Linked DNA regions of Alligator mississippiensis. The protein of the gene in region 1 purifies or fractionates together with the protein of each later gene. This does not show direct contact. Links are inferred from orthologs where the notes say so. Each region holds a gene or a part of one and is shown in the gene's direction. Other genes may lie near its edges. The genes, in order: STIP1, ACLY, DNAJB6 and HNRNPDL.

Region 1 (7,501 bases):
TCCAACCCACAACCTCCCCCCACCTCTGCCAGTGCCCCTCACTCCCGACCTGTAGTCCCTTGCTCCCCCAGTGCCCCTCACTCCTAACCCATGCACCTGCCCACCGGTGCCCCTCGCTCCCAACCTGCAGCCCCCTCCCCACATGAGCTTTGGCTCCGAGCCCCCATTATCCCAGCCCTATGAGTTAACCTTGGATATAACACCTGCTTCTTCAACCTGTCCCCTCCCCCAAACCCGGCTTAATCTAAATTAAGTCTCCATGTGGACACTCACTCTTAGCCATCTTCTTCCAGGTGTCAATGCTCTTCAGAGGGAGGAAGTCCTTGGTGAAGTAATGCTCCCGCCGCTGCTTCTGGCTCAGGCCACTCAGATACTCTGCAAGGGGGAAGATGGGTAAACTGAGGCGCAGAGCAGCAAACTAGTTGGGGAGCAGGGGGGACAAGTCCCAGGCTCCAGGCCCCTCTGCTCTCACCCCCCAGCCCCACTCTCCTCCCAGAGCTGGAGAGGACCCAGGTGTCCTGGCAGGGCCCGGCCGGTTTCCTACTCCCCTGCCTGGCACTGCTCTCCTCCAAAATGACGGCTGTCACCTAGGGAACAAGCCCCCAGCTTGGCGCTGCCCAGGCCCACCCAACAGGGAAGTGTCCTCAGTGTCCCCCAAGGGTCCCTTCAGGCCCCGTTGCCATAGTGACTAGAAGGCCTTGGGCCTCATCCGGCCTCTGGGGTGGGTCGGTCCTAGGCCCCAGGCCTCCTGGGCCTATTTCCATGGCAACCTCTAGCCACCCCCACCCCACTGCACTGGGCCTGACACCTAGGTCCGAGGCCTCACCGGGCTGTTTCCATAGCAACGCCAAGCCCCCACCACGCCTCCCTGGGCTTGACACCCATTTCCATGGTAACTACTAGGCCCAAGGCCTCACTGTGCCCTTTTCCATGGCAACTTCTAGGCCCTGGGCCCCTTGCTGGGTGGCATGTAGGCTTTAGGCCTCACCAGGCCTCACCCTGCCGGTGGTGAGCTCTAGGCCCCAGGCCTCACTGGGCCTGTTTCCATGGTGACCTGTAGCCCTGCCCTCTGCCCCCCAGGGCTTCTTGGCACCCTCTAGGCCTCAGTGTCCTCTAGGCCCAGCAGCGCCAGGCAGGCACTCCCAGAATCCTTTGCACCACTAGCAGCTGCTGGCAAGCACCCACGGCTGCTCTCAGTGCAAAGGATTCTGGGAGTCCCGCCACCCCCTTGGCACAAACCGCAGCATTGCCCGGAGAGTCCTGCCACCCCCTTGGCACAAACCCCTAAACTTTGGCACGCCCTAAACTGGTGCAGGCCTGGCCTGGAGACCCCCACACTGTGCCTAGCAAAGGGACAAGGGCAGGGCATGGAGCTGGGCACACCTACAGCAGCCAGAGGGGGCACAGGCCTGGGGGGAGCAGGGGGCTATGCCCGGTTGCCCTCCACCTCCCCAGGCACTTACTTTTTGCCTCCTTCCAGTCGGTGGAAGTGGTGAGGTCCACTTTGGCCGCCATGTGCAGTGGGGGGGCACCCGCCCAGGTCCGGAGCGCGCCCCGGGGTAGAGAGCAATCGCCCAAGTGAACTGCCCCCCTCCAGAGAGCCCCCAGCACCCCGGGGCGCCCGACCCAGCCCCCCAGCACCTGCCCTGCCACTCTCAGGGCCTGAATGCCAAACAGAGCCACTGGCATGGTCGCAAAGAGATGCCCCCCCTCCCGGCGCTGGTTGGTCCCTGAGTGCAAGAGGGAAATTCTTCTCCCTTATTTATTGCACCTGGTATTTAGCTGGGGGGGGGGAGGGAAGGCGGAATCCGTCCTGCTTGAGCAAAGCTGGGCTAGGAGCAAGCTCTGCCCAGAGCTTAATGCAAAGGATGCTGGGAAATGTAGTCCCCGCCCTAACCCCATCTCCGTGCAGAGGCTCTGTTTCGGGAGGACGGGGGCTGGGAGCCAGGCACCTTCTCGTCCCACTTCGGGAGGGGAGTGCAGCCTGGGGGGCTGGTTAGAGGAGGGACGGCCGGGGCCCAGATGCCTGGCTTCTCTCCCTGCTCTGGGAGCTGGGGACTGAGAGCAAGGGGCTGGGAGCCCGGACGCCTGGGGCCTCCCCCTGGTCTGAGGGAAGTGGGGGCTGAGGGGTTGGAGTAAGGGAGGTCTGGGAGCCTGGACACCTGGGTTCTCTGCCTGCGGTGCGATACCCCCTCTGGAGCAGAAACCCAGCCCCATGCTTCGACCTCTGACCCCTTCCACCTCCTGCCCCAGCCCAAAACCTCTTTGCAGCCAGCCAGGGCTTCAACTACAGCTCCTGGCATGCTGAGCAGAGCCTCCAGGGCCTGCCCCCCTCAGCCCCCTCCTTGTGCACAAGCAGGGAGACTGCCTGCTTCTAAAGGCAATGCCCTTGCAAAGGGGGCTGGAGTTGGACTGGGATCATATCCCCCCTCCCCCTATAACCAGAGCTCTGGCTATTTAAACCCAATGCTTGGGGAGGTGGGGGCTATAAATAGCTCGTGGCTGCCTGATCTTGCTGGCTGCTTCAACCATGGGCTATGTTTAGCCCTACACCCTGTGTGCTGACAGTCAGGGCCTTTTGCTGAGCCCCACATGCTATGTGAAACCCTGGGCCAGAGGAACATGCATCAGCTTAAAAGAAACCTCCAGGCAGGAAGAAGAGCACAAGATATATATATATATATATATATATATATATATATATATATACATACACACACACACATACACACATCTCATCTAGCATAAAACTTTCCATCACACACCTTAAACCACATTAAGAAACCGCGCACCCATTACAGAGGAGAACAAGACACTTTGCACTGAACAGAGGTGGCCACATGAGCTGTGCAAAGCTGTTGCACAAGCCTGCTGGGGTGTGGGATAGTGCTTTTTACCACAGGGAAACTGAGGCAGGGATAACAGCAGGGATAGAAAGACCCCAAGCATCCTGGCTCCAGCCCCTCCCCCGGCCATACTGTGGGCACTGCACCCCAGGCCCATTACTGCAGACAGAACCCAGGAGTCCTGGTTCCTCAGTGGTCCCTAAGCCACTAGCCCTCTCCTGCCCAGGCCACATCTCAGGACAGACCCAGGTGTCCTGGCTCCTTCCTACCCCCTCGCCTAAAACCCACCCACTGGAGCCCAGGTTACCTGCCGCTTCCCACCCCCGGCAGCTCCGCTGGGAGATTTGGCTGTCCCACAGGCAAGCACTTCCACCCAAAGCCTCTCCCCGAGATCCCGAGCTGGCAGTCATGCATGGTGGTGACCACACAGGGCACCAGGTTCACGGACATTGTGAATGCCCAAGAGCCGAGGTGAGGTATGTGTACGCACGGGACATCACATGTACTGGAGGCATGCAAAACATGAGTGTTGGAGACGCACACACGCGTCATGCATATGAAGCATAGGAACCAGTGCCAGAGGGACACACGCATCTTACACAACTTATGCATTGCCCTAGAAATGGGCCCAGCAAGGCCTGGGGCCAAGGTGGCAGGCCCAGTGAGGTTGGAAGCGTAGAGGCAACAGGATCTGACAGGACCTCAAGACCTTGGGGGGCATCCTCAGTAAGGGGGCCTGGGCAGCACCAAGCAGAGGGGGCTTGTTCCCTGGGCAACAGCCCTCATTTTGGAGTGTGGCCGAGCCAGGCAGGGGAGTGTGAAACCCAGCAGGATGCCTGGGACCTCTCCCCAGTGGGCTGGAGCAGGGGGAGGCGAAAGCCCACGCACCTGGCAGGAGGGGTACGAGTAATTGTGCAAGCTCCCCTTGCAGGGCAGGGGCACGAGTGGGGACTGAAACACAAGACCTCCCCTCCTCATCCCCTGCCTGCCAGGAACAGGCCCTCCAGGCTCTGCCAAGTGCACCAGGACCCCGGGGCTCCCCGCGTTGAACTCCCCAGGTCACACGTGGGCAGAGACCACCTAACAGCGCAACACAACAACCAGTGTGCCCACACGACACACTTCCCGCCAGCGGCTCAGCGCCGCCTTTTAAAGGACCACGGGCGGTGACGTCTCTCTGGAGTGGCCCAATCAGAACGCCGCACTCCGGCGTGGCGTCACGGCGTTGCGGCCAGCCAATGAAAGGACGCAAAATCCCAGGATGGGAGGGGGGCCTTTGAGGGATGGAAAGGCCGTTGGACCAATGGACGCTGAGAGGCGAGCAGCAGCCAATCGGAAGAGAGAGGGCGGGGCTCAGTTGTCAGGCGGGAGCCAATGACATCAGGCATGGGGAGCGAGGGACGGCAGAGGGCTTGATTGACAGGTACTGAGGATCAATGAGAAGAGGGAATGGACGGGGTGGGCGGGCCCCGCGTTCCAGCGAGGCGGTGCGGGGGCCGGGACGGACAGCGTCTCCCACCAATCGTGGCTCGGGGGCGGTGGGGTCCCCGCGGGCGGCGGCCAATGGGGCGGCGGGGGCGGAGCCGGGAAGCTTTCTAGCAGGTTCCAGAAGGCAGCGGTGGTCGCGGACCGGCCTGAGCCATGGAGAAGGTGGAGAAGAGGGATCTGGGGGGACGGGGGTGCTTGAGGGGTCCCCAGGGGCTGGGCGCGCTACTGGGCGGGGCTATGGGGGCTGTGGGGAAGGGGCTGCCCGCCCTGCCGCACGGGAGGGGGCTTCTGGGGGCGCCCCTGGGCGGGGGGGGGCAGGACGCGGGGGGCATTGGGGGGGGGTTCTACTGCTCCCCCACACTGTGAGAAGGGGGCGATGGGGGCAAAGGTGGGGACTGAAGGGGTTGGGGTAAATCTGGGCCTGGGGTATGTGGGAGCAGCTGTGTGGGGGGGATGTGGGGGCAGCTGTGCGGGGGGGCTGGGGGATGTGGGGGCAGCTGTGCAGGGGGGGCTGGGGCAGCTGGCAGCCTGGGGGGGTTGCATGGGGGCAGCTGTGTTGCCTGCTTCCTTGCAGCCTGAAGAGGCCCTGGCAGGGGCAGGTGGAACGAGTTCCCTGTCGTGTTTTCCCCCTCCTCCCTTGGGCCCGGCCCCGTGGGTGCTGCTCAGGGCTGGGGCCACCGCCCGCCCCTGCCTGACTGGAGGAGCTGAGACCTGTTTGTGTCGGCACCTCCCTGCTCCTCACAGGTGCCCGGTTCTCCCACCTCCGCACCTGCACTCCGGTCCCCGGCCCTGGGCCTGGGCTTCCACACGTGCAGCCCCGAGCCCTGCATCTTTGGGGCAGATCCAGGCTGGGAGGTTGAGCCTGGCACAGCTCTGTCCCCTTGTGACGGGGGCTGCTGGGCAGGGGCGGAGGGGGTATTGATGGTGTGGGATTACTGCTCCTTCCACTTCCGCAGGCAGCTGCTTGGGGGCCTTGAAGTGGTAATTATTTCCCTCTGGGTGGCCTCCGGTTTGGAGCTCAGCCCCCACAAGGCAGCTGGCAGCTTGGCTTCAGGTGCCGGATGGGGCTGGGATGCAGCGAGGTAGGGGCTGGAGACCAGGGCAGAGGCGGGCACCTGCAATCAAGTGACTCATTTTGGGGGGGGGGGGGGTCAGAAATGCTTCTTCCTGGCAGCTGTGGGCACTGATGCATGGCTTCCCAGCTGTCCCCCGTGGCACAGTTCCTCCCTACCTGATCTCCTTGGCTCGAGCTGCCTCTTTCTAGCAACGGGGAAGCACTTGTGGAGCTGCTCTCCCTGGACTTCTGCCCAGCTGCAGCCTCCAGAGGCACCGGGTGATCCCTGCTGGAAGTCTTGTCACAACATAGACCAGGCTGGGGAGGCTTAGTTTGGAGGGTAAAGTCGGTTTAGGTTGGATCTCAGGGAAAACTTAACTGCTGGAGCAGGACCGCAGTGGGAGAGAGGGCAGGAGAGCTAGGGACTCTCCATCACTGGAGGGTTCAAGGCTCTTACAGTCGTCGGTTGGGGCTGATGGGGGCATAGCGCTGCCTCTTCTACTGTGGAGATTTCCCAGGCTTCAGGCGGGGCAGTGCTGGCTGCCACCGCCCTGCCTCTGCCACTTGGGGGGGGGCGGGGTTAAGCCTTCCCCAGAGGCACTGGGTGTTGGCTGCAGCCAGGCTGGAGGTTGTAATTGCTCTGTGCGTGTGCTGCTGGGACCACAGCCGCTGGCTACAGGGTCTTGCCTCCTCTTAGGGTCAGGGCAAGACCCTGTGGGAAGGGCAAAAGGGGGAGGCAGGAATCAGCTTTGGGAAGTTCGTATCTTCCCCCAGCATCCACACCAGCTGTGCCTTCGAGGTGCCAGCTCACATCTTGGTGGGAAAGCTGAGGCAGTTGGTACAAAGCTGGCTGCAGTGATACTCTCCATGTGCTGACCGAGACCCCAAGGGTAGGGACAGGGCTGTCTGGAGCCCAGTGGCCCCTGGGAGACTTCCCGGCTGGGCTAATTCATCCCCTTCTCCCTCCCTCTCAGGTGAACGAGTTGAAGGAGAAAGGCAACAAAGCGCTGAGCGCGGGGAACATCGCTGAGGCCATCAAACACTATTCAGAGGCCATCAAGCTAGATGCCAAGAACCATGTGCTCTACAGCAACCGGTCGGCAGCCTACGCCAAGAAGGGGGAGTATCAGAGAGCGCTGGAGGATGCCTGCAAGACAGTGGAGCTCAAGCCAGAGTGGGGCAAGGTGAAGCGGGGGGACAGATCTAGCTGTATCGGAGGCTGGGTCATTCCCCAGTGGCCCCAGTCATCCGTGCCTGGGTGGAGAGTCCCATGGTAACTGGGGTGACTTCCAGCTGGGGCACAACTCATACACATCATAGGACTGATTCCTAACTGCTTTTTTCCTCCTACCACTGGTTAGATGTAGGCATGGGTGGGCTGTGAAGACACCTGGGTTCCATTACCAGCACCAGGAAGGGTCCAATAGGGTAAAACAGCCAGGTGCTGGAGTTCCTCAAAGCCCTTTCAAGCATGTAGTGGGATGCCTCATTAGCATCATTAGGCAGCTCGCAGGAGAAACCCAGGGTTGTCCAACAGGAATGCATAGTGTTCAAAATGTCCTGAGCTGTCGTGATGGGAGGCCTTTGCAAGAAAAGAGTCTCTCTCTTGTTTTTTCTGTGGTCAAGAAAGAGAAAGCTAAGAGCTGAGATTCTCCAATGGGGGTTGGAAATCTGGAGGGGGTGGGAAGCATGCTGGGAGTCTGTAGTGGGGGTGGGGTGGCCATGAGTCTGTGGGCTGGGGAAGGCAGGCTGGCTGTGGCGGGGATCAGGGGTGTTGCATCTAGTCCATACCGGTGCTCTAGACAAGACCAGCCCTGGCTAAATCAGCCCAGCTGTGTCTGAGGACAGAGACTTTCCTTCTTCCCCCACTCAGAGCCAGAAAATCCTCCCACATTCCCAGTCTCAGTTTCCCCTGCTGCCATCTCTGTCCTTGTCCTGTCCCATGTGGCCACTGGGAGTCATCTCTCTCATTCTTCCTGCTGCAGGGATAAGCCTCCTTCAGTTTTTTCTTCTCCAGACTCCCATCATCCCAGTCTTTCCAGCCTGTTCCCAGGCCTGTATCCCAGACCCCTGATGAGGTTTGTCACTCTCTGCTGGGCTCTTTCTAATCTGT
Region 2 (7,783 bases), on another chromosome or scaffold:
AATATTGACGGCCATTTATTTTTAGCTGGCACACAGCCTAAGCCTGTCCAATTAACTTTAATGGAAACCCAAGTCTTCCTGGCAGATGTGGGATTTTAGTTTGATAAATGATCATGTCTCAAGACAACTACGTCCTCTTATAAAAGCAGCAGAGCTAGCAACGAAAGAGTGTAGCAGCTCTACAACTGAATGCAATTACAGGATCATAACAACTAAATATTGTAAATTCAGACAATCCACCAAGACAAAAATTGCTGCCTGGTGCAGGAATAAAAAGTGTAGGAAAAGCAGGAAACTGATGCTTCCCCTTGCTTCTGGCAGTACACCTATCACTTGCCCAAGTACTCTTTACCTTGGAAAATGTTTTGTCATTTTGAAGAGAGGCTTCTGCATCTTTCAGGGAATTTTCTGTGTCCCCAAGCTTCAGGTAACATTTTGAGCGAGCAACCAGACAGTGCTTATCCCCTTTTTGAAGCTGCAGAGCCTGGGGTGCGAACACAGAGATGTACTCAGTCGCCTAAGCTTAGCAAGATGGAAAACACACGTTGGACCCATCTGTGGAGAACTGCACTGCATGTAGATGAGACTTCTGGGTCAAAAAACTCAAGGCACATCCCAAGCATCACAACCCTCCCTCCCCACCAAGGTAGGCAAAGGTAATTAATCCGCAGGGGGAAAGCTGGGTCACAGAGAGGGCAAGGTGCTGAGAGAGACTCTGCAGTGGGAGGCAAAAGCAGAACCCAGGAGTCCCAGCTCCTGCCCTCCATCAACAGTTGTCAACCTGCGGAGACTCGAAGCACCTCTCAGAAAATGCCAATTGTCTTTTCTTGTCTCCCACTTGTTTCCCGCCCCCCCAAAAAAGAAACAGAGCAACTCCTCTGTTGCAAAGGGCTCAGAAAGCTCAGAGCAGGGCAGAGCACCTGCAACGCTACGGAGGCCCAATTGAAATCCCTCTAGTTTATCATGCTCACACCAAGCAGCGCCCAGCCAGCCCCTCGAAAAGGTCTTAAGGACCCAGTTTGAGAATCGCTGATGTAGGTAGCCTTCCTCGGGCAGCTCTGCCCCTACGGCTGGCAGGCTGGAGGGAGCTAGTAGCGAGGGGGGTGGCTCAGTCCCACCCCCCCGTAGGGAGGCCGTGGCGCGGGTGGGGAGCGCTACCCCAGAGGGGCAGCACTCCCCCCTCTCCCAATACTGCCTGCCCCGTCCCCTTGGCATCCCCCTCTTGGGCCCCAGCTCCAGGCACGGGGGCAAATACCCCCGCGGCCGCCCCCTCAAGCCCCCTCCTCGTGGCCCCTGCTCTGACACTTGACCCTGCCGGGGGGGGGGGGGGGGAGCGCTCATGCATATTCATGACGCCTGTGTCATGGCGGCGCCCTCACGTTAGTGAAGCAGAGCAGCGCCTTGCTGTGCTGCCCGCGCCGGCTGAGCAGTGCGCCCTCGGCCATGAGGCTGGGGAAGGTGCCGACCAGCTCCTCTGGCTCCACGTTCGCCATCGACCCGGCCTGGCAACAGCCGCCGCTGTAGCCTGGCAACAGCCGCCTAGCAACCGCCGCACTTCCGGGAGGGGCCAGTGAGCCCGCTCCCGCGGTGCTACGGGAGAGCGGAGGGGTCTTTCCTAGTGACTCCGCGCGTTTCTCCCCCCCCGCCCTTTCGATTGGTTCTTTCCAATCTCCCCTTCCTTCCGCAACCCCCTCCCTCCCGCCTTGTTCCTGCCGGGGGTTCCCCTCGGCTTCCCGCTCCCTTGTATCTCACCTCCTTCCCTCCATTGCACTTCCTCTAGGCGCCTGACATACACACGCGGCTCCCAGCCACGCTCCCCTCTTCCCTGCCCTCCCCCCAACACACACGCACACCCCACCCCAAGCACACTCGCCCCTGCCCTTTCCCTAACACACCCACACCCCCCTTCCAGCCATGCTCCCCTCAGCCTGGAGGCTGGTCCTTAGTCTCCTTCCACCTCTACCCCTGTGCTGCCTTGTCATCCAGTAACCCTCACCTCTATCCCACTTCAGGCCCTCTTCAGCTGAGCAGGTTGCACAGCCCCCAGCCCAGGCAGTCCCAGGACTTCTTGGGGTGCTGCAATGCACATGACATTGGTTCCCAGATCCCTATTTCCAGCTTGGTGCCTCTCAGCCACAACCCGCCTGCAGGGCTCATGCAGCCACACCATGGGAGCTGTACCCTGTATTCAGGAGGCTTAGTGGGCCTTCACTTGTTTGCTTGGCTGAGGTCCTCCCCTGTTCTGTTGGGTCCCATCCCTTCCCTTGCAGATGCAGGCAGGATCCCCCTTGTTCCTAAAAGGGGAGTTACACTAGGCTTTCTGTCTTAGATGTTTGTATAGCTCCTTTTGCTGCAGAAGATTGCATATTCCCATCTGAATCACGTGGCTGTCACAGGTATGGGATGTTCCCAGTGCTGCCACATCCAAGCAGAATGCCAGGGAGAGTGACCCCTTGTTACCTTGACCAGGATCTTGCTGTCCTGATTCTTGCCTCATGGCAGTTATTGTGTGTATTACAGTAGCATTCTGCAGCCCCAACCAGTGATCATGGCCCCACTGTGCTGACAAGTATGGAGAGTCATTTCTTTTCCCAAAGAGTTAACAATTTAAGGTCTTGTTTACATGGGGAAACTAATTCAGGTAGGGTCTGAGTTTAAAGAAGAGCAACCGTTTAGGATTGATTCCTGGTGTAAGGATGGTTCTGTTCTGGAATTAGAGAGCCTTGTTTCTAATTTAATCCTAAATGGGTCAAATGCAAAGGGGTAATCCAAACCAGACTAAACTAAATTAGAATAAAGCACTCTAATTCCAGAATAAGAGAGTTCCCCCATGCTAGGGAATAGTTGTTCCAAAATAACTCCTCATATAAATGTCTTCAAAGAATAAGACACTAAAAACAGAGCTAGCAGACAGAAGCATTGCAGCAGTGTAGCTTCTTGCCCCAGTGAATTTGTGACTAGACTGGCAAGCAATCCTGCAACAGATAATTAAAACAATGAATTACTTGGCATCCTTGTTTAGTGGCCTTGCAGAAGTGATCTGAAGGATGGGAGGAAAAGCACTGTGTCCATGTTTAGGGACGCTGTTCCAGGTGTGGGCCATGAGAGATCAGGAGTGAGCAAAGGAAGCGAGTGGTGGATGAAGCTTAAGTGGTAATGAAGAAAGCAAGTTAGGTGGTGCACAGGTGGTGATGATGAGGGCAGAGATTTAGGCAAGGGTAGAGCTGTGCACAGCTTTACATGTGAGGGAAGGAACAATGAATATACTGAAGTGAGAGAGACTTTGGAAATGGGGGGTGAGCTCTCTTACAGAGAACTCTATGGAGAATTGCTGCCTGTACCCCATGGCTTATACTGGTTGTTTGTATTTTCAATAGCTTGTTTTGGACCAACAGGCCTGACCTGCAGAGAATCTGCAGTCTCTTTATCCAGTCTGTGTTCACTTTGCTGAGTATTTCTAAGCTGTGCAGGAGCCCTGGAAGAACGGCAGGCATGTAGGCACAGCTGGTAGCCTAACTGTGGAAAGTGATTAGGAAAAATATTTTGTTGTCACTGCTGAAGGACGGGATAAACTGGTTCTTCTACTCTGTCATCCTAAATGGTTCTGAATGAGGCAACAGTTTGGCAGAGGTAGGTCTGCAGCTGAGTAACCCCATAGCCTGGTGGGATCAGCTGTCATCCTTTAACCATAATGTATCTTATTGATGCTATCACAAGCATCGTCCTTCCAGGCAAAAAAGAAATGATAGATGAAACTTTCAGCTGTTTCACTTGTCCTACCAGAAAACATTAGTTTTAGCTGTACTTTAGCCTTGGATAGGGGCCTGCTAAGATGGATGCTTAAGAGTGATGCTGAAGATTAATTCATTTCTCCTGGCCTAATGATTCATTGTGGGTGTGGTGGTCCCTCTGGCATACTCAGAAAACATTATTTGGAACTAGTGACTCCAGGCTGGGTGTGGGCATGATCACAGCACTTGTAACATTTAACTTCAGCATGTGAAAAAAATCAAAGCGGTGGCTGGCTTCTGAAAGACATGTTTGGTATCTGTAGTTGTGTATATTAATCCTTGCTAATGTTTCAGAGCCTGTACAGCATCACATGAGGATTTTTGGTATGAGAGATGTTTTGTCCTTTGGTAGAGGGATAGGAAAGCCCAAGTGATTAGACCAAGGTTTGGGTTCAGGTTGGAAGAGCCTATGCTCCTTAAAGGAAGGAGAGGGAGCTTGGGATAATCCATAGCAATCCTTTGTGACGAAAGGATTCATGTGGGTATCACAGTATTATTCTCAAGGAGCAAACTTTCTGTTGTGTGTGGAAAAGGACTGCGAGAATAGGCTGTGTTACAACTTTACCTCTGACTTGATGAGCATCCTGGCAACTTGCTTCAAGTTATGTGGAGCACTCGGTTTTCCTCATCTGTGAAATTGAGAAAATAATACATCTTGTTCTTAGGAGGGTTATAAGATGTCATTAATGTTTGCAACATACTTAAATCCAAAGATTGCAAAGACTCTTCAGAGGCATATTTCACTATAGGATCATGGGCTTGCTCCCTGCTAAAAAGAGCTTTGGAAGGGTGAAGTACCATAGTCCTAGAAAAGTAAATCTCAGCCACAATTAACTTACCTCCTCTGCTTATCAGAAGTAAAGGTATGATGCCAACTATAAGGAGACTATAATCTAAAGAAGGAGCAGCTGAGGACAAGAAGTCAGGATGGCTGGGTTTTCCTCCCGACTCTGGAGCACTGCAGGACCTTGGGTAAGTGACTTGGCCTCTTTTCCTCAGCAGGTTTCCCACCTGTAAAGAATGCATTGGCTCACCTCAGTGAAGTGCTTTGTAGGAATAAACCCTTCTAGGCACAGAATGCTAGTGGTCATTACTTACATTTTTAATTTTATTTTTATAGTCACACCAGCAACCAGAGTTTAATCGTATGAGGCAGCAGGTGATACAGCAACACTTACGAGTGACTCTATTTGGGTTTCTTTTCCTTCTTTATGCCTACAACTAAACAGCACTCTGGTCTGTGGCAGATCAGCACTACTGGGCTAGATAAAAGCAATATGTAGCTAGGGTCTGGCAGAAAAGTATGCTACTAGAGCAAAACTAAGAGGATGTTGGGAGTATAGAGAGGCAGGCCCAGGGAAAGTTCCTCAGCACAGTTGTTAGGTAGGGAGGTGTGACTAGCCATAGGGACTGAGGGAAGGTGTCAATCTAGGTGATTATTTATGGCAAATCTAAAGTACCCATGGCTGAGGGCAGGGACCCTAGATTGCAGAGCCCCTTAAATGAATGTTTAGAACTGCAGATACAGGGGACTAAAGCAGGTCATGGTTAGCACAAAGGGAAGAGGACATTGGGTGCATCTACCCGTTCATTAATGCACGATTGTTACTGGCAGACAAGGTTCCTTGGGTGAATCTGATATCTTTTATTAGACCAACCCAAATGGTTGGAGAATAGTTATATAGCAAGCTTTCAGGTTCAAAAACCCTTCATCAGGCTAAAGAAGTTTCAGCAGTTGGTGTGAGCTCTTCCTGGATGGAATGAAAAGTAAAAAAGCCAGGGGCTGGGCTGGTATGCATACAAGACAGGCAGTCAGTGAAGATGTAGATTAAGGAGTCAATGGGTGAGAGACAGGCTGGGGTGGGGGTGGGGGGGGAAGAGAGAGAAGGGGGATGAATAGTGGAGAGAGACCTGGGGAGTCAGATGTTAGGCAGGTTATAATGTGTCATAAATCCAATGTCTATATTTAGTCCATGTTTTTTAGTATCCAGCAGGCTGATGAAGTGGAGTTCATAGGCTTGTCTCTGGGAAGTGTTTTGCAAGTTTCTTTTGAGGATCAGGACAGAGAGATTGGAGAGAGAGTGGTTTTCTTGTGAGAAATGTGCCCCCACAGGTAATTGGGTATTCCTGTCTTTGATAGATTTCCGGTGTGTGTTCATTCTGGTGCGCAGTTGTTGTTTGGTCTCTCCTACGTATTTTCCATCAGGGCATTTGGCGCATTGGAGGAGATGTATTACATTTCTGGAGGTGCAGCTGTAAGATCCAGGAATGCTGATGGCTCTGTTGTGGGGTATAGTGAGTGTGGGGTTGGTGGAGGTGTGTTGGCAGGTTTTGCATTTCTTGTCATGGCACGGTTTGGATCCTTTTGGTGTGTTCTGGGCTTGAGGAAGTTTGCTTCTGGTGATGTTAGTGAGGTTCGGTGCTTGTTTGAAGGCTAGGATGGGTGGCTCTGGGAAGATCTTTTTAAGAATAGGGTCGGGGTTACTGGGTTTTTGGTTGTAGCCATGTTGGTCTAAGGACATATGCAGGCAAGGTTCTTTGAGCAGATGTGATATTTTTTCATTAGACCAACCGAGTAGTTGGAGAAAAGTTCTTAGCAAGCTTTCAGGTACAGTAACCCTTTGTCGGGAATAGGGAGTCTCTGCAGAGAGTGACTGCACCCAATGGTTACTGTACATTTAATTGAGTACTTGTATAATCAAGCTGATTATTGATGGCAATTTAGTCCTTGTATAATCAAGTATTAAATAAATGCGCAGTAACCAGTTACTGCGCAGTAGCGTGGATGATCACCTCTTCAGTGACACCACTGTGCCGTAGCCTAATAACAGTAGTGCTGTTGGTGCTGCGACCTGCTCCTGCGCAGCATTAGTCTGTGCAGCTAGTGTCTCATGTAGACATGCCCCTTATGCCTCGCTTATCCAGGGATCCCATGTAATCAACAAGAGACCAACTGGCTCCACCTGTCATCAGACACGTGGTCCTCATTAGAAGGGCAGCTAGTCCAGGCCAGGGCTGCCCCCAACTCTATGGTCCTTTGCCTAGCCAGGGCCGGGTGCCAGAGCAGTGGGGCACGTGATGGGGTGAGCTCCCACGCCTGTCCCCGGCTGTGCAAGCCCGGCAGGGTCCCTGAGACGCGCGGTCCCTTCCCTCGGGGCCCGCGCTGGCGGCTGTGCAGTGTAGTGCAGTGCCAACCTGTCCCAAGCCTCAGCAGCTGGTGACCTGCGGGCCCGGCCCAGCCCAGCGCCGCCCACGGGAGGTGCAGTGGAGCCATGATCATGCCACCCAGCGCGGGGGCCGCCCTTGCCCAGCGGCCCTATCCCCAGCGCGCCCCGCGGAGCTCCCCCGCGCCCCTCCGGCGGCCGCCGGGCCGGGGTCGCGCTGCCGCCGGGGGCGACACCGCACGTCCCGCCAGGCCGCGCAGCCCCGCCCGCGACGCGCCCCACCGCCGCCGCCCAATGGGGAGCGCGGCGGCGCTCAGGCAAGGCCACGTGGAGCCGGCGCTGCCCAATGGCGGCCCGGGGCGGGGCGGGCGGAGCAGGCTGCGAGCGCCCAACAAAAGGCGGGGGCGGTGGCAGCGGCTGGGCCGGCGCGGAGCTGAGAAGAGAGCGGTGAGTCTGCGGGGCGGCGGCCCGGCCCCTCTCCTCTCGCCGCCGGGGGCGGGGGTCCATGCACCGATCCGGCCCGGCCCGGCCCGGCGGGAGCGAGGGCCTAGCTCGGATCTCGCCTGCCCTGGGGTAGAGGCACGGCGCAGGAGGGCTGGGAGGGCATCTAGGCCACCCCCTGCTCCTAGCGGCACCAGCCCCCACGCGATCGCTCCGGACACCGCTTTGTCTCCCCCGGGGCTCAAAAGCGTCCAGGGATGGCGATTGCACCAGCTCCCTGGGTGGCCGGTACCTTCCTGGGGAGAGACGCTTCTCCTAATGGAAGGCTGGAGCCTTCACCCCTCTTGCTGCAATTTGAGACCATAAGTCCCCCTGGGCTGGCGGAGG
Region 3 (8,056 bases), on another chromosome or scaffold:
AGGGGTGCGCAGCTTTACATTTACAATAATTTAATTTATTCCCAAAAGTGATTGTGAAGTATTACAGTTATTCATTGATATTGTAGTTGTACTTATTAAGTACAAGAATTCAGGAGTCAGGGCTTCAATGTACTAGATGCTGCATAAACAAGAAGCAAAGAGACTTTTTCTTTCTCCCAAGATCTTACGATCTAAAGAAGAATGCTTGTGGGTACTATACCTGTTACTAGGAACCCTGTCAATTTTGTGGTCTTGCAATTACATTGTACAGAGGGAGGAAAAATGTCCAGCACACCTACAGCCTAGGGAATGACCTGCTGGGTGGCACGGAAGTGGAAAGGGATCTTGGAGTCCTAGTGGACTCCAAGATGAACATGAGCCGGCAGTGTGACGAAGCCATCAGAAAAGCCAATGGCACTTTATCGTGCATCAGCAGATGCATGACGAATAAATCCAAGGAGGTGATACTTCCCCTCTATAGGGCGCTGGTCAGACCGCAGTTGGAGTACTGCGTGCAATTCTGGGCACCGCACTTCAAGAGGGATGTGGATAACCTGGAGAGGGTCCAGAGAAGGGCCACTCGTATGGTTAAGGGCCTGCAGACCAAGCCCTACGAGGAGAGACTAGAGAACCTGGACCTTTTCAACCTCCGCAAGAGAAGGTTGAGAGGCGACCTTGTGGCTGCCTATAAGTTCATCACGGGGGCACAGAAGGGAATTGGTGAGTTTTTATTCACCAAGGCACCCCCGGGGGTTACAAGAAATAATGGCCACAAGCTAGCAGAGAGCAGATTTAGACTAGACATTAGGAAGAACTTCTTCACAGTTCGAGTGGCCAGGGTCTGGAACGGGCTCCCAAGGGAGGTGGTGCTCTCCCCTGCCCTGGGGGCCTTCAAGAGGAGGTTAGATAAGCATCTGGCTGGGGTCATCTAGACCCAGCACTCTTTCCTGCCTATGCAGGGGGTCGGACTCGATCTATTGAGGTCCCTTCCAACCCTAACATCTATGAATCTATGAATTGTAAAACCACTCATTTTACAATCACATTTCCCTTCTTTTTCCCCATAGGTTTTACTGCATGAGAGCCATGCACGCTGGGAATGTGACAGGCTGTGCAGGAGTGACTGCTTTTTCCCCAGATCTGAATGAAAATGCATTAGAAAACTTTTCTAAGACTATACCAACCATCTAGTTGGTTCAATAAAAGATATCACCTACAGAAATCCTTACCTACCCCTCATGAAGCAAGTCCTAATTAAGAAAAAAATTAACCATTTTGATGCCATAATCTCAGAAGAACTAAATGGACAGAGACTGAGCTGCAGTTTTGACTGCACAGTTCCATTAGAACAGTGCTGAGATGAAACTTCCTCTCCTGCCCATGGTGTTCCTATTTTGCTGGATAATCAGAAAATTTTATGCTGCAGAGCTCTGAAGCCAATAAATTAATAGAAAATATGATATTCAAGCAATTAAAATAAATACATTAATGGATACTGAGCCTGGGGTTTTCTAAAAGGCTTAAGGAAGTTAGGCGCCCTGGAAATCGAGCACGTCTCCTTCAGGACTCTTAAGAATCCCAGCCTGTCTCTGTAAAACTTTCTGAACATAGGAATAGCTCAGACAGAATAATTTGAGACCAGCAACCACAATAGCCAGAATAATCTATTGGTCTTCCTCTGGACCCAAGTGACTCACCAACAGTTGGGGGCCTGTAACATGTTTCAGTTAGGAGAAATTTGTGATGGAGTTGGGTGATGATGAAGACGGGTATTTTTTGATGGAATCTTGATAGTTTACAAGAAATGCACCTTGTCCTCCTCAGCACATGTTCATGTGATGGCTGATCACTACCCCTAAGTCCGTTTCAGCTGTGGTGCAAGTTAAATTGTCGCCACTGAGCCTGTAGGTATGTTGGGGATTGTTTGCCCCCAGATGGAGCACCCTACATTTCTGAGTGTTGAACTTCATCTGGTTCTGGTCTGCCCAACTCTACAGCCAGGTAGAGTCCAGGTCTGTCCAGGTCCGTTTGTATCTGCAACCTATCTCCTGGCATGGCCAAACTCCTCCATAACTTGGTGTCATCCGCAAAATTGGCCAGCTAACTTTTCACCCCCACATCCAAATCATTGATAAAGATCTTGAAAAGCACCAGTCCAAGCATGGACCCCTGAGGGACACCACTGGCCACTTCTCACCAGGATGACACAGATCCATTCATGAGCACTCTCTGGGTCCTACTATGCAGCCAGTTTTCCACCCACTGAAGTGTTGAGCAGTTAAACCCACAATCTTCCAAATTTTCCACAAGGATGTTGTGGGATACTAGATCAAAAGCCTTTTGAAAGTCTAGTTATATAATGTCGACCTTCTCTCCCATGTCCAGGTGGCGAGAGACCTGCTCATAGAAAGGGATGAGATTGGTAAGATAAGACCTACCTATGATGAAGCCATGCTGGCCATCCTTCAGAATCTTACCCTTAATGAGCGTATTGCACAAAGATTCTTTAATGAATTTTTCCAGGATTTTCCCTGGGATGGAGGTTAGGCTGATTGGCCTATAGTTGCCCAGGTCCTCCCTCTTTCCCTTTTTGAAGATGGGCACAATGTTGAACCTCTTCCAATCCTCAGGGATCTCCCCTGCGTGCCACAAATTCTGGAAGGGGTTCCACAGTGACCTCAGCCAGCTCTATCAGCACTCACGGGTGAAGTCCATCTGGTCCTGCTGACTTATAAATGTCTTTTCTAGTTAGTTTTGCATGAGCTCAGCATCCACAGTGGGAAGGCTATCATTCCCACCATGCCCCTTGTGATCTTTATCTTGTTTGTGTTTCCCCTTGGTCCGGTGAAATACTAAAGCAAAGTGGGCATTCAGGAGTTCAGCTTTTTCCTGAGTGTCCGTTACCAGCTGATCCGAGGTGTTAAGCACGGGCCCCACACTTCCACTTGTTTTCTTTCTGTTCCCTACATACCTAAAGAAGGACTTCTTATTGTCGTCGACTCCCTTGGTTAACTTAAACTCAGTGGCTGGCTTAGCTTTCCTAATCATTTCCCTACAAATGCGGACCACTGTTGTATAGTCCTCCTTGAGGACTGTCCCTAGCTTCCACTGTGTGTACGCCTCTTTTTTCTTTTTCAAGAGGACTGCAACGTCCCCACTGAGCCAGGAGGGCTTGCCAGCCCTTCTGCTACTGTCTCCCAGGTAGCTCTGGGAAGGTCTTTGTGGCCAGCCTTCTCTGTGGCCACCTTCTCCTCCACCTTATTCTTCTCTACTTCTTCTTTTTCCTGGAGTAGGGCCTGGCAGTAGCTGTCGATGTAATCTTCGTGGGCCCTGATGGTGAATAGCTGACGTACCTCCCCCTCAAGCTCCCACATTCGGCCCTCCAGGGCCCCCACCAGGGAGCATACCCCACAAGTCGGGATGCCCCCTTGTACGGTTGCCAGCAGCCACACCCTGCAGTCTGGGGTCACGGGCTCTGTCTGGGTGGAGGTCTCAGCAATGCCAAGACACTTGCAGGTATCGTGAGTGGCCGCCATGCCCGAGAGTGATATCTTTTATATCTGACCAGTGGTCTCCAACCTTTTTATGGTGAAGATCACTTTTTTCAAGCAAATGGCACCCTAGGATCTATGCCCCCTTCCCCCTCCCGTGGCCAGATGAATGTGGTGCCCCTGGATGACCAGATCTTCCCAACCCTGGCTGGGCCAGGCCCGCCCCCACACGAGTCCCTGCTGCTGAGCTGAGTCGCGCCGGCACGTGGACAGCTACAGTGGGACTCGAGGTGTAGCGGCAGCAGCCTCTGCTGCTGCTGCCCCCGCAGAGATGGGGGGAGTCCCTACCCCATGCCCCTGGAGGAGCCCCCCAGGCTACAATCCTGCCACCACCCGGCTGGGCTGGGGCACTACTTATGTTTTCCTGCTCCTGACTGGGCCTCACCACAGGGCCTCGAGCTGGCCCCTGCCTCTTCCCTTCCCTTCCCTTCCCTTCCCTTCCCTTCCCCACAGATTGACCTGCTGGGACTGCAGGGGCGAGGGCGAGGGCGGGTGCGTGCACGTGCTCGCACTCAGCTCTCTCCCAGCCCAGGATTGACCAAAAGAGGATCCGGGATCAATGGGTTGGTGACCACTGTATTAGACCAACAGAGCAGTTGGAAAAAAGTTCTTTGCAAGCTTTTGGGCGCAGGATTACACTGCCTGTGGCTTTTCCAGGTTGTCTTCCCTGTCTTTCTTCTCCGTTGCTGTACGTTTCTCTTCACTTAAATTGTTCTGCCTTTCTTATACACGTGTGCCCACCAAGACCCAGAAGACTACTTTGTAGAGCAAAGCCTTTATTTTGGCAAATGACGTGTTTTTGATTTGGAGGCATCACCTGTGAGCTTATGTAAAGGAGCTCAATGACATCCCATAACATAATGATCTCAGCTGAAGGATAACAGTTATAATGACTAGTTGCAAAGAGGTTCAATCCACTCATTAATGTGTGTGTGTGTGTGTGTGTGAACTTAAAATGTAAGTTGGTCTAATAAAAGATATCAGATTCATTCAAAGCCCTTAGACCCCCCCCTTGAATGACATGATTTAGAAGAGGTAGAACAAAAGCTAAGCGCTGGGGGAGGGGTGCGGAGAGTGGAAATCAACAGGGTTAAAAATGATGAGATTTTAAATAATAAGGGCGATTGCGGTCCTACGCCTTCTGGCTTTGGAAACTCCAGGTTTCGTGGCTCCAAGGTAGACGATTAGATGGAGCTGTTTTAGTTCACATTGCGCTCTTCACATAATCCCGTGACTCCAGGAGCGTGCACGGCGCGGCGGGGACGAGGCCCAGGGTCCCGCCCGAGCTCGTTGCCTCCGCCCGCCGCCAGGGGGCGCCGCCGCGCTCCGCCCGGGGGCCGAGGGAGGGGCATGCGGAGGAAATTCGAGAAGCTTCCGGAAACAGCTGACGCCGCGGAAGTGAGGTCGTGGTGACGTGTTTCCTGTTTGTTTAGGGCGATAGAGTTGCCCCGACATCGCTCCCGCTGCTCTTACGTCGCGGAGCAGAGCCGCCGCTGAGGTGGGTTCGCGCGGGGCGGCCCGATGCCGCCGGTGGGCGGCGGCGCGGGGCCGGGCCCTTAGCAACCGTGTTGGTGGCAACGGGCGGCCGCGGCCTGGCGGGGAGCGGGGGCCGAGGCCTCCGCGGGGCCCAGCTCCGCGCGCGTGTCGCAGGGGCGGGAGCGGCGCCGCCTCGGCCCGCGCGGCTGAGCCCGGAGGCTGAGGGAAGCGGCCGGGCTCCTGCGGGGCCGGAGGAGCAGCGGCCGCCGCCGAAACCCGCGTCTCAGGCAGGCCTGGCTGCGGCGTGGGGCCCGCGGAGCGGGCGGGTCTCCTTGCCGGGAGCCGGCTGCGGTGACTCCAGCCCCTCGGGCAGGGGCCGCGGCGCCCCACGCGCGGGGGCTTCCGGGGGCTGCGAGCGAGGGCGCTTCCCGGGCGAGAGCCGCCTTTGTCTGCAGCGCTCCTAGCTTCTCGTAGCTGAACAGCTGCGCCAGCGCCGCCGCCGCCGTTAGCCCGGTATCTTGGGGCACAATAACAAGCCCCCAAAGTAAAGCGGTGGTGTTCCCTAAAAAAAAACGGGGGAGGGGGGCGTTACTTAAATAAAACCAAAACAACTAAAATAAAATTGACTGAATATTTTTTTCATGGTTTGGTGCAACATGTGAGAGGCAAGGGGTTTCTTAGGGAGATGTTTTTTTCAGAGAGCTGAAAAAGACCTAAAGTATGTTTGGAGGCCTGGGGACGAATTTCTTGGAAGTCTTGTCTGCCTTGAACCTAGGGACGTAGGAGGTTCGATAAAAGATACTGCCTGAAGAAGTGCTTGCCTCTGGCATCACTTCTGGACCAGCGGGGCTACTGTGTCGCTCTGACACTAATGGAATATGTGAACATTAAAAGTCTTATTTTGTAGTAAGGAAAAGGTTCCCACTCCCTGTTTCACTTTTTCTATTTTGTTTTCTGTTTTTTTTTTTTTGCTATAAATAAGGGGAGGAGAGCAACATTAAAGCTTTTTTTTTTTTCCCCCAACAAACTTCACTTTTTAATTTTTGAGGGGGGAAAGGAATTTTTGAACCAAACTGTTTCCCTTCCTTTGAAGTCTTTACTGGAGACTAACCCTAACCCTAACCCCCTACGCTTTCAGCCATCTCTACGCTAAAATATTTCTCTGTAGTTGTTACAGCTCTGCTGTCTAATAAATGCCACTTTTATTTGTTGTGTGTTCCAGTGCTGACTTTCTAGTCCTTTAATCTGTTGCCTCCCTAATTCCCAGTTCATCCTTAAAGACTGCCAGGGGAGCAGCCACCATGCCCTCCCTGTCCTCTGCAGCAGCCTCTCCCCCTAGTACTCTAAGAAGATTTGTCTCTGAGACTGATACAACTTGTCAGACTCTGGACTTCAGTTTTGCAAAATGCCGGTGGCTCAACATGATTTAAGCGATATGTTATGCTTTTTATTTAACCATCTCCTGTCTGAGGGTCCACTAGGAACCATGAAGTATGGCAACAGTAACCAGATCAAACTAGTAACTGTCCTGTCACTCTTCACTATTGTCTAGCTCCCATAGATGTGCTTAAACTGTTTATGAGAAGAAGAGGCACCTCTTTGTCTTCAAGCCTTCCATTTCAGTCAGCAGAGTAACTAGTAGTTAGTGGCTTGTACAGGGAGGGGGAGGAGGGACTTTTTTATTTATTTATTTATTTATTTTTTACTTCGTGCCTGTGAGCTCTTTTCATGAACCAAGATGTAATTGGGTTTGGTGTTATACCAGTAAAACAGAAAGCTGACCTTGCCTTAAAGACCTTCTACTCTAAAGATGCCTGACAAGAGGCAGCATTAGTATCTCCAACAATGGAAATACCTTCTCTTTACTGGCCCGATATAAATTGGTAGAGAATCTGCACTGTAGTGAACTTTACTCTGCTTTGATATGGTTACTTCATGGTTGCTAGTGGACCATCAGGCAGAAGATGGTTATGTGCAGAAAGTGTGGTTGTACAACCTTAACTGTAGGCCAGTGGTTTTGAGGCTTCTCATTTTTGGCTGGGAGAAGAGATTTTCAGTTAAATCGTGTTAGTATAAAAATGTTTTTATCCTCTTCCTGAATTTCTGTATGCTAATGATCTTTATATCATATCCCGCAAAACATCTGTAAAACTGTTTATACAGGTTGTATGGCCAAAATGCTTACACATTTAAAATTCAAATGCTTAATAAAACTACTAGAGAAAGATAATTGCAGAAATGTGGTAAGCTGAAGCACTTGTGCTGCTGACCTACAAAGATTTTTTTTATGGTTAGTTGAAATTATGAAGCTCCCCTATAATTCTTCTGTAACTTTTTTACTTAAAGCAGAATCAATGCATATCTTTCACTTACTGAAAGTGAAACAAACTATAGCAGTTTGTTTGAACTGCTTGTTTGTTGAAACAAACTCCTCTTGCCTGTGGATACCTTTCCCCTCCCTCCCAGCTGCCACATCAGGTATGCTGGGGGCAGGGAAAGATAATGGGTCCTTGGGCTGGATCCGGCTTGCAGATGGGTCTCAATATGGGCATGTGCTGTGTGCCTTGTAGGTCGGATCAGACCCAGGGGCAGCATCAGGGCTGGATCTGTTCCACCCCTGAACTATAGGCTTGTAGGTTTGATTCAACTCTTGCCAACAGTAACTTGCGAAGTTGTAACTTAATGTTTAGTAAGAGAACTGTGGTTTCATCTAACTTTTAGCTTTTTCAGTTTGATAGGGTGCGGCCACATGTGGTGTCTTACAGTATGGTAGGATGCATGCTTGTTGCATTAGCCACTCCATGATAACTGTCCATATGTCCACTCTTGTTTTATGGTAAATGTCCTACCGTCACTGAGGGGCGAGCAACCTCACGTTTCCCATGCGATGAGCATGCACATGGACGGTTGCCATGAAGTAGGTACAAACATGCAGGGAATCTTGTAACTTGTTTGTGTAGCCATAAACTTAGTTTAACTATGCAGTTCTTGTACAGATAATTTTTTCTTTAGTAACTTTCTGCAGTAAC
Region 4 (7,547 bases), on another chromosome or scaffold:
AATATGCGAGATAATATTATGGCTGGTTTCCATCCTCCTTTATACTGAACATGTGATAGGGTCCCTGCTATGCAGCCTGCTGCCAGCTGCATAGTGGGGCTGTGGGACCAGCTCCAAGGCTGGGATTGCCAATCAGCTGATTGTCAGTCTTAGCCCCAGGATCATATCAGATCCAGTTCAAGATCAGGGAATTTGGGGGGGTGGCTGTATTAATGGCCACCACTCCCCTGCTGCCATATTTCTTGACTTGTGGAGATTCTCGCGAGCCTCATGCAATGGCTCTGTGGGCCATAGGTTGAACACCCTTGTTCTAGAAGGTTAAGTGACCCACTGGCACGCTAAACTACACATTTTTTGATTGAAAAGCTACTAGGTAAAGCGAGTTAACCAGAACAGTAGTATCCCAAATTTTTCAATCTGTCATTTCCCACAGGTCCTGTTCTTATGCAGTCTTAAAATAACATTGTACAAAAGGAGAACCACACTTGCCAGCTGTGAAGTGGACAGGAGTCTGATAGACTAGGGAATGAGACAATGAACTTATTTGAAATAAGTCACCCAACTGTTGTTGGGAGATTAAATTTTTAGGGCTGTTCTGTTCTGGGTGGGATGTAACCTGACAAATCAGAGATGGGACACTTGAATATTCAATGATATAAAAAGTCAGAATGGATGATCTAATGGCTTATTTTGGCCTTAATATTCCATGAATCAGTCCACTATGACCCAAGATTTTAATCTAGCATTTCCAAAATTTAAAAGCTGAACCTCATTTCAGGAAAGAAGTCAATCTGTGCCTTCCACATTACTAATAAGCCTACATCCTAATTTTTAAATTGCTTGCCCAATATACCACTTCTCCAGTTAATCTTCAGACTCAACTCTCCATCTTTATGGAAAATACAGTATAAATCTTCATACTACTCTTCTCCTTTTTTACATTATTGGTATCTATGCTAGCACCAAGTAAAAAATGAAGTCAGTTCACAATGCAGAAAGAAGCTCTCAGAAGACTCAAATAAATATTGCAGCTTCAGATACATTCGCATAATGTTTGGAAGGTCATCTCTGCATCCACAGCCCCTTAAAAGACTTAATTTCAAAATTAGTAACTGAAAACAGAGAAAAATCTTCTGCATGTCACAATGTAGAAAATACTAACTCAAGCAATTCAGGTATACCTCACAAAAGTCCCATCCAATTATAAAAATCCATGCAAGTTATTCTTGAAACATTCTTGCCCTAGCATATACAATAAATAGTTTGTTTAAAGTAACATTTTAAAACTATCTGCTTTTAAAATGTTTATACAGTTTCCTATGTTAGTATAAACCCTTTTAGCACAAATAAAGTTATACCAATAAAAAAAGATTTTTTTGTCAGTAAAACATGCAACACCAAGCAGGTTTTGCCATCCTAGACAGCTATGCCATTAAAAAAATTACATTCCTATCAATGGCCAACATAGCTATGTTAGCAGAATTTAAATATAGGCCACACCTAATAACGATTAGTAGCTGCCTGCAGTAATAGCTACCTTAAAGTCAAAATCTTGAGTCTTTTGATGTTGATCATCTATATAAAAAAAATCACAATTAAAGAGGAAAAACATCTAGTTGATGGGTTTATTTCGTCTTAAAGAGTGGCCTGCAAGAAAAGCAGCAAAGGACTCGTGAAATTGATTTTTCCATTCTAAAAGAATTTAGCATTGTAGTTTATGGTGGTTAAACTGTCTTTTCATTACCAAAAAGGAACTGTTCACCATCTTGCCTGGTTGAAAATTAATATTCAGGTATATTAAGAAAAAATTATCATAAGCAAGCTCTTGCCTTTTTTGCCAAATACAGAGGTGTATTTTTATTTGTTATAGAAACTGTTATACAATTAAAGTGATGTATGCTCCATTAAGCTGCTTTGGGCAATAAACATGAATGTAATGGTACTGTTTTGCATTCATATCATTCATAACAACTTGATTTTGGGGGGGGGGGGGGGGGGCAAGTAACACTTGCAAATTATAATGTTGCTTCATGTGTTTCCATGCATGTCAGCAATGATCAAAATAAAATCCTCACCTTGCACATGAAGGATTATTTCATGTTTAATTCATTTTTTACAGATATCAATATTTTGAGAACTGGATGGACATAATGGGAGAGTACAATGTGTGTCGGAGTTCTTAGGTAGGTCCAAAGTGATCTATAGTACTTGTTAGCACTGTGTTCAGAAACATATATTTAAAAGGCCACGCGGTAAACTAGTATGAATGTCTGTTCTTTTTTATAGTCTGTAGTCATGTATATATTTTTTTGGCTTTCAGATTAAAAGAATTATGCAAGTCACACTTATTTTAAAAGACTGTTGCTGTTGTGTAGGATTTTCATAATGTTCACCCCAAATCACTTAACTTTTTTATTTGCAACCCCCACCCTGCTTTTCTCTGTGTTGGCTAGTAAGCGCTGTCATGGCCCAATCAGGCTATGCCTCAGGCATCTCTCTCTAAGTGACCTGGTTTCTCTAATAATTGATGTGAGTAGATCACAACCAAGCGTACATGCCTGCTACGTGTGACAAACTGCATTTATGTGACAGCGTGTGCCAGAGCTACTGAGGCTTAAAAGGCCAGAGATGGTTACACACTTTTGCAGGCTGGTACTGAAAACTGTGGGTGTTTTAGGTTGGGAAGAAGAGAGAGGGGAGCTGCAGATGCTGAGGCCTCTTCAGTAGCCGTTTCTCTTTGCATTTCAATCTACAGCATTGGGCAGGGCGGCAGCATGTCAGTAACACCAGCAAGGAGTTGCACAACAAGGGGAGGCAAGAGACAGACCTACACATGCACACTCTGAGAAGTAGGCAGTCCCACATACAGATGCCCTCCCCACATGCACAGTGTGCAAGCTAGGCAGCCCCTGCACACACACACTGTGCAACCTAGAGACAGACACACATGGACCCCCCCCCCACACATTGTGTAAGTTAGAGATGACCCCCCACACCCATGTGCTGTGCAAGCTAGACATATGTGCATGTGCGTACACACGCACACACTATGCAAGCCAGGGACAGATCCACATGCAGGCCCTCCCACACACACTGTGCAAACTAGACATATGCATGCTGTGCAAGGGTACGCTAAAGGCAGGTTCATACACACATGGTGCAAGCTCAAGACACTTCCCCAACACCCACACCATGTACAAATCAGATAGAGACCCACACATCCAGCCATATGTGTGCAAGCTAGACAAACCAACACACACACTGCACACAGCCCCCCCCCAAGCTAGAGACACCCCACAGCCGCACACACTTGCATGCCAGACAGCTGCACCCTCCCACACATCCAAGGTGCAAGCTAGACAGACCCCCGCTGTCAACTACGCACAAACTTCGCATACCTCTATCACACACGCACATGAACGCACGCGTGCGCGTTGTGCAAGCTCCAGCCAGGGACACACACCCCCCAGCCCCGTATCACTCACAGAAACGCATGTGTGTAAAGCTGCCAAAGAAGATTTTTTCCACCTATGTAGTTGTTCTAATAAAACACATCGCATCTACCCAAAATACACGGCGTGGCGCTTCCGCGTGAGCTATAGCCAGGACCCCTCCCCCACACCCCGCGGCGCTCGATATCCAAGCGAACGTGCCCGCAGCCCGCGTGCTTCCGGCCCCGGCCCACCTTGACAAAGGCGATGGGCGTGGTGGTGCCTTCGATGTCCAGCAGGATGGCGCGGACCGCGGCCGGCACGGACAGCACCCCCATGGCCCCGCCCGCTCGCCTTGCGCTGAGCTGCGCCCACTGCCGCAGCAGCTGCGCGCGAGGTTGATGCCGAGTAAGCGGAGCCGGCAAGCGGAGAGTGAGAGGGCTGCGCCGATTGGCTGGATAGGAGGAGGGGGTGGGGCTTAGCAGGCACCCTAAGGCTCTAGGCCTGGAGCCGGGGGTAGAAGTTGGTCCGTGGGGGACGGGACTTAGCGCAAAGCTGCGGAGGAGGGGGCGCGAGCCGCTGCGGGACCTTCGAGACAGCAGCCAGCTGGCCACGTGAGTGGGGTGGGCAGTGCCGATTGGCTGCACGGGACGAGAAGGCGGGGCTTTGCTGACATCTGTGCCTGCGGGGCGAGGCAGTGCGGCCTGCTGTGGGCGGGCGGGGCTGCTGAGTGCACCAAGTGTGGGGGGGCGCGTGCGCGGTTACATAAACAGAGGCCCTTCCAACCCTGAGGTGGGCGCGGCGCTCTCGGCTGCTGTTGCTCTCCCTTCACGTGGGGCGAGAGAAGACTTGGTGTGGGCCGGCCCCCTGCCCTGGGGCTCCAGTCGGAGCGGCCTGCAGCTCTTCCGCTTGCTCCGCGCTGCTTCCTCCTCTCTGCCCATAACCGCCTAGCCGCGCCGCCGCCATTCTGCGCTCCCCCCTGCCGCCCGCAGGGGGCGCTGCGGATCGCGCCCCACCGCGCCGCGCTGATTGGCTGCCGTGACAGGTATATAAGTACGGCGCAGGCGGGGCCCGGATCTCTTCCGCCGCCATTTTCTCTGCCGCTCGGGGCTCTGGCTGCGCGGCGCCTCCTCTCTTTGCCACTGCGTGTCGGTCTCTGCGCGCCCGCCATGGAGGATGTGACCGAGGTGAGTGGTGGCGGCGGCGGCTCGGAGGACTTCGCCGAGGGCTCCAAGATCAACGCCAGCAAGAACCAGCAGGACGATGGGTGCGTGCGGCCTCGGGGTGGAGACGATTGTCACGAGCCGGGCCTGGCTGGGGGGGGGGGGGTGGTGATCCCCTCCCCCACTCCTTGGTTGGGGGGGCTCTTTGTGTCTTGACCCGTTGACCTGGCTTCCGAGGGGCGGGGTCACGAAGTGCCAATCACTGCCCCTGACGTCACCCGCAGCCTATTGGGGCGCGGCAAGCCGCCACCTTCCCCCTCCTGGAAAGGGGCGGGGCGAGCGCGTTTTCTGAGCTGGGGGGGTGGACACGTGCGCGGGCACGGGCCTGCACTGCTTCCCTCTGGCAGCATTGGTGCGTGGGGGGAGCCCCCATACCTGTGGTTATGGCAGAGTGCCAAAAACACCCACAGTCTCCCCTTGTTAGGTGTTGGTGTGCCAGGGGTGGGCAGCAAGCAAGCTGCAAGGAGCCTGATCCTTTTTGCGGCAGCGCAGCCCAAACACTTACCCACTGTCTATCTGGAAGCATGTGTGCCAAGCAGAATACCTTCCCGTGCCACACTGGCACCTGTGCTGGGACTTGCTTGCCCCAGGGTTATAGTCTTGCTCAGGATTATGTCCATCGTTGTGCTCTCTCAGCGTCTAGTGTCAGACCTTCCCCTTCATCTAAGTAGGTCTCATGGGTACAGCAGGCAGCCCCAAGCTCTGAAGATGGGGTGGATGGATCCAGTGGTATGTTGCTGGCTCCAATATGGCTAGAGAAATTGCCACATAGGCTTGGTTCTTTCCAAGCTTGATGTGACTAGCCAAATGCTCTGCTCTTACCTTTTTCTTTTTTTCTTTAGCAAAATGTTCATTGGAGGCCTGAGTTGGGACACAAGTAAGAAAGATCTGACTGAATATCTTTCTCGTTTTGGAGAGGTCGTGGACTGCACAATTAAAACAGATCCAGTAACTGGGCGGTCAAGGGGATTTGGGTTTGTTCTCTTCAAAGATGCTGCCAGTGTTGAGAAGGTATGTGCTGTCAGTTTAGGGGCTGTAACAATTTTGTCGCTTCTGAACTTTCTGAAAATTTTCTTGGGTATTGTCTTGTTAGGTGCTGGAGCTTAAGGAACACAAGTTGGATGGCAAGTTAATAGACCCCAAAAGGGCAAAAGCTTTAAAAGGAAAAGAGCCCCCCAAAAAAGTATTTGTTGGTGGGCTGAGTCCAGACACATCTGAAGAACAAATAAAGGAGTACTTTGGTGCTTTTGGAGAGGTACAGTATGACTGCTCTGGAGACTCTTTAATTACATGATCAGTGTTAATAAATTAGATAATTTGTTTTAAGTTTGGGAAGAGAGAGGATAATCTGTGCTTTCCATGGAATTATGGTTTTCATAAATTTCAATAAACCAGCAATATCTGGAATGAGGTGCAATAGTTAAATTAACCATGGTACTTGTGGTGTACCTCATCAAGTGATGCAAGGGGATTTTTTGGTTGTGTTTTTCCCTTGCCCCCTCCTCTACTCCCCAATGTACAGATAGGTTCCACTGGAATTCCCCCACTTCAATGTAGTTTGTTCTGTTTTCGGCTATATAAATAGAAGAAGTTAAATGGATTTTTTTTTTTTTTTATTTAAACTATATTATTGGTGTGGATGTTTCTCTACAAGAGACTACAGTGAGTCAGAGTAAAAACCGTGACAATGATACACTTCAAATGATTTTTTTATTTTTTTTTATTTTCAGATTGAAAATATTGAGCTTCCCATGGACACAAAGACAAATGAAAGAAGAGGTTTCTGTTTCATCACGTATACAGATGAAGAGCCAGTAAAGAAATTATTGGAAAGCAGATATCATCAAATTGGTTCTGGAAAGGTATGGATGTTTTTGGTCCAACTGACAAAGCTGTCAAGTAACAATTCTTGTTGTTCTGGACAAGCATTCTTAGTTTTATGTTGTTTTCTTGGCATTTGCATGCAGCTAAACTTTCCTATCTCATTCCAGTGTGAGATCAAAGTAGCACAGCCCAAAGAAGTATACAGACAGCAGCAACAGCAACAAAAAGGAGGAAAAGGAGCTTCATCTGGTGGACGAGGTGGTGGCAGGGGCCGTGGCAGGGGTATGTTTGTTGGAAATTGTATCTCTTTCTAAGGGCTTTTCTCCAAGCTTGGTTTTAGTTTGTCTGTTAGGTTGCTCCAGAACAAACATGAGCAGGGTAAACGAGGTGTGGAAACTAAACTTCCTGGGACTTGGTTGACTTCACATTTTATAAAAACTAATTTAGGTTGTTTTCACAGCTACTCAAATGTAAACTGAAGACTAGTTACTTGCGTTGAGATTTGAGACTGCAAATTCCTGAATTTAGTGGTTGTTACTTTTAAAAGGTATAGATATGGGGTAAAGCTAGATAGTATCTTCAAGGTTTTATCCATGGTGATCCAGGTAATGTGGAAAGGGGGTAATAATGATCTGTTGACAGTGGGGGGGGGGAATGTTTCCAAATACATGCAATGTATATGAATGTTGGGACAAGAGTCGTCTTGCCAGTATTAGGTGATTTATGAATAGGAGTGTGCTACCTCTTCACTTTTCAGTAGTTAAACCAAAGTCACCAACATTTGCAACTCAATGTGACACTTTGAAGCAAGGTGTTTTGGAATGTTGCATGTTTTTGTGTTCCTCATGCGCTTCCAAAAGCATTAGATGCTTTGCACAGTGACAGGACTTTTCCACATAGCCATTACAGAATGGAGCTACATGTTGATGTAGATTGCTTGCTACTTCTCTTGGGAGGGATAGAGTGTAGGAAGTGGAACTACAGTGTATAATTGCTGTACTTTTTTAGGTCAGGGACAAAGCTGGAATCAAGGATTTAATAACTACTATGATCAAGGGTATGGTAACTA

What was found.
Region 2: the proteins of STIP1 (region 1) and ACLY fractionate together in Homo sapiens (co-fractionation; 3 studies listed by BioGRID, with this or other methods). This does not show direct contact. The link is inferred for Alligator mississippiensis from reciprocal best matches to the Homo sapiens genes STIP1 and ACLY.
Region 3: the proteins of STIP1 (region 1) and DNAJB6 purify together in Homo sapiens (affinity purification with mass spectrometry; 3 studies listed by BioGRID and IntAct, with this or other methods). This does not show direct contact. The link is inferred for Alligator mississippiensis from reciprocal best matches to the Homo sapiens genes STIP1 and DNAJB6.
Region 4: the proteins of STIP1 (region 1) and HNRNPDL fractionate together in Homo sapiens (co-fractionation; 3 studies listed by BioGRID, with this or other methods). This does not show direct contact. The link is inferred for Alligator mississippiensis from reciprocal best matches to the Homo sapiens genes STIP1 and HNRNPDL.

The regions. Positions count from the first base shown.
Region 1 is NC_081838.1:4,559,827-4,567,327, reverse strand, and holds the start of STIP1 (stress-induced-phosphoprotein 1), read left to right. Parts: upstream 1-4,411; 5' UTR 4,412-4,487; coding exon 4,488-4,496; intron 4,497-6,362; coding exon 6,363-6,572; intron 6,573-7,501. Other genes in the region: ADP-ribose glycohydrolase MACROD1, read right to left, coding at 274-375, 1,464-1,689. UniProt on the Homo sapiens protein: Acts as a co-chaperone for HSP90AA1. Mediates the association of the molecular chaperones HSPA8/HSC70 and HSP90.
Region 2 is NC_081827.1:162,979,189-162,986,971, forward strand, and holds the start of ACLY (ATP-citrate synthase), read left to right. Parts: upstream 1-4,680; 5' UTR 4,681-4,763; intron 4,764-7,783. Other genes in the region: ODAD4 (outer dynein arm-docking complex subunit 4), read right to left, coding at 353-484, 1,380-1,493. UniProt on the Homo sapiens protein: Catalyzes the cleavage of citrate into oxaloacetate and acetyl-CoA, the latter serving as common substrate in multiple biochemical reactions in protein, carbohydrate and lipid metabolism.
Region 3 is NC_081828.1:202,941,055-202,949,110, reverse strand, and holds the start of DNAJB6 (dnaJ homolog subfamily B member 6), read left to right. Parts: upstream 1-4,939; 5' UTR 4,940-5,049; intron 5,050-8,056. UniProt on the Homo sapiens protein: Has a stimulatory effect on the ATPase activity of HSP70 in a dose-dependent and time-dependent manner and hence acts as a co-chaperone of HSP70. Plays an indispensable role in the organization of KRT8/KRT18 filaments.
Region 4 is NC_081825.1:146,137,134-146,144,680, reverse strand, and holds the start of HNRNPDL (heterogeneous nuclear ribonucleoprotein D-like), read left to right. Parts: upstream 1-4,502; 5' UTR 4,503-4,600; coding exon 4,601-4,698; intron 4,699-5,496; coding exon 5,497-5,665; intron 5,666-5,747; coding exon 5,748-5,909; intron 5,910-6,384; coding exon 6,385-6,516; intron 6,517-6,645; coding exon 6,646-6,760; intron 6,761-7,486; coding exon 7,487-7,547. Other genes in the region: ENOPH1 (enolase-phosphatase E1), read right to left, coding at 3,686-3,769. UniProt on the Homo sapiens protein: Acts as a transcriptional regulator. Promotes transcription repression. Promotes transcription activation in differentiated myotubes. Binds to double- and single-stranded DNA sequences. Binds to the transcription suppressor CATR sequence of the COX5B promoter.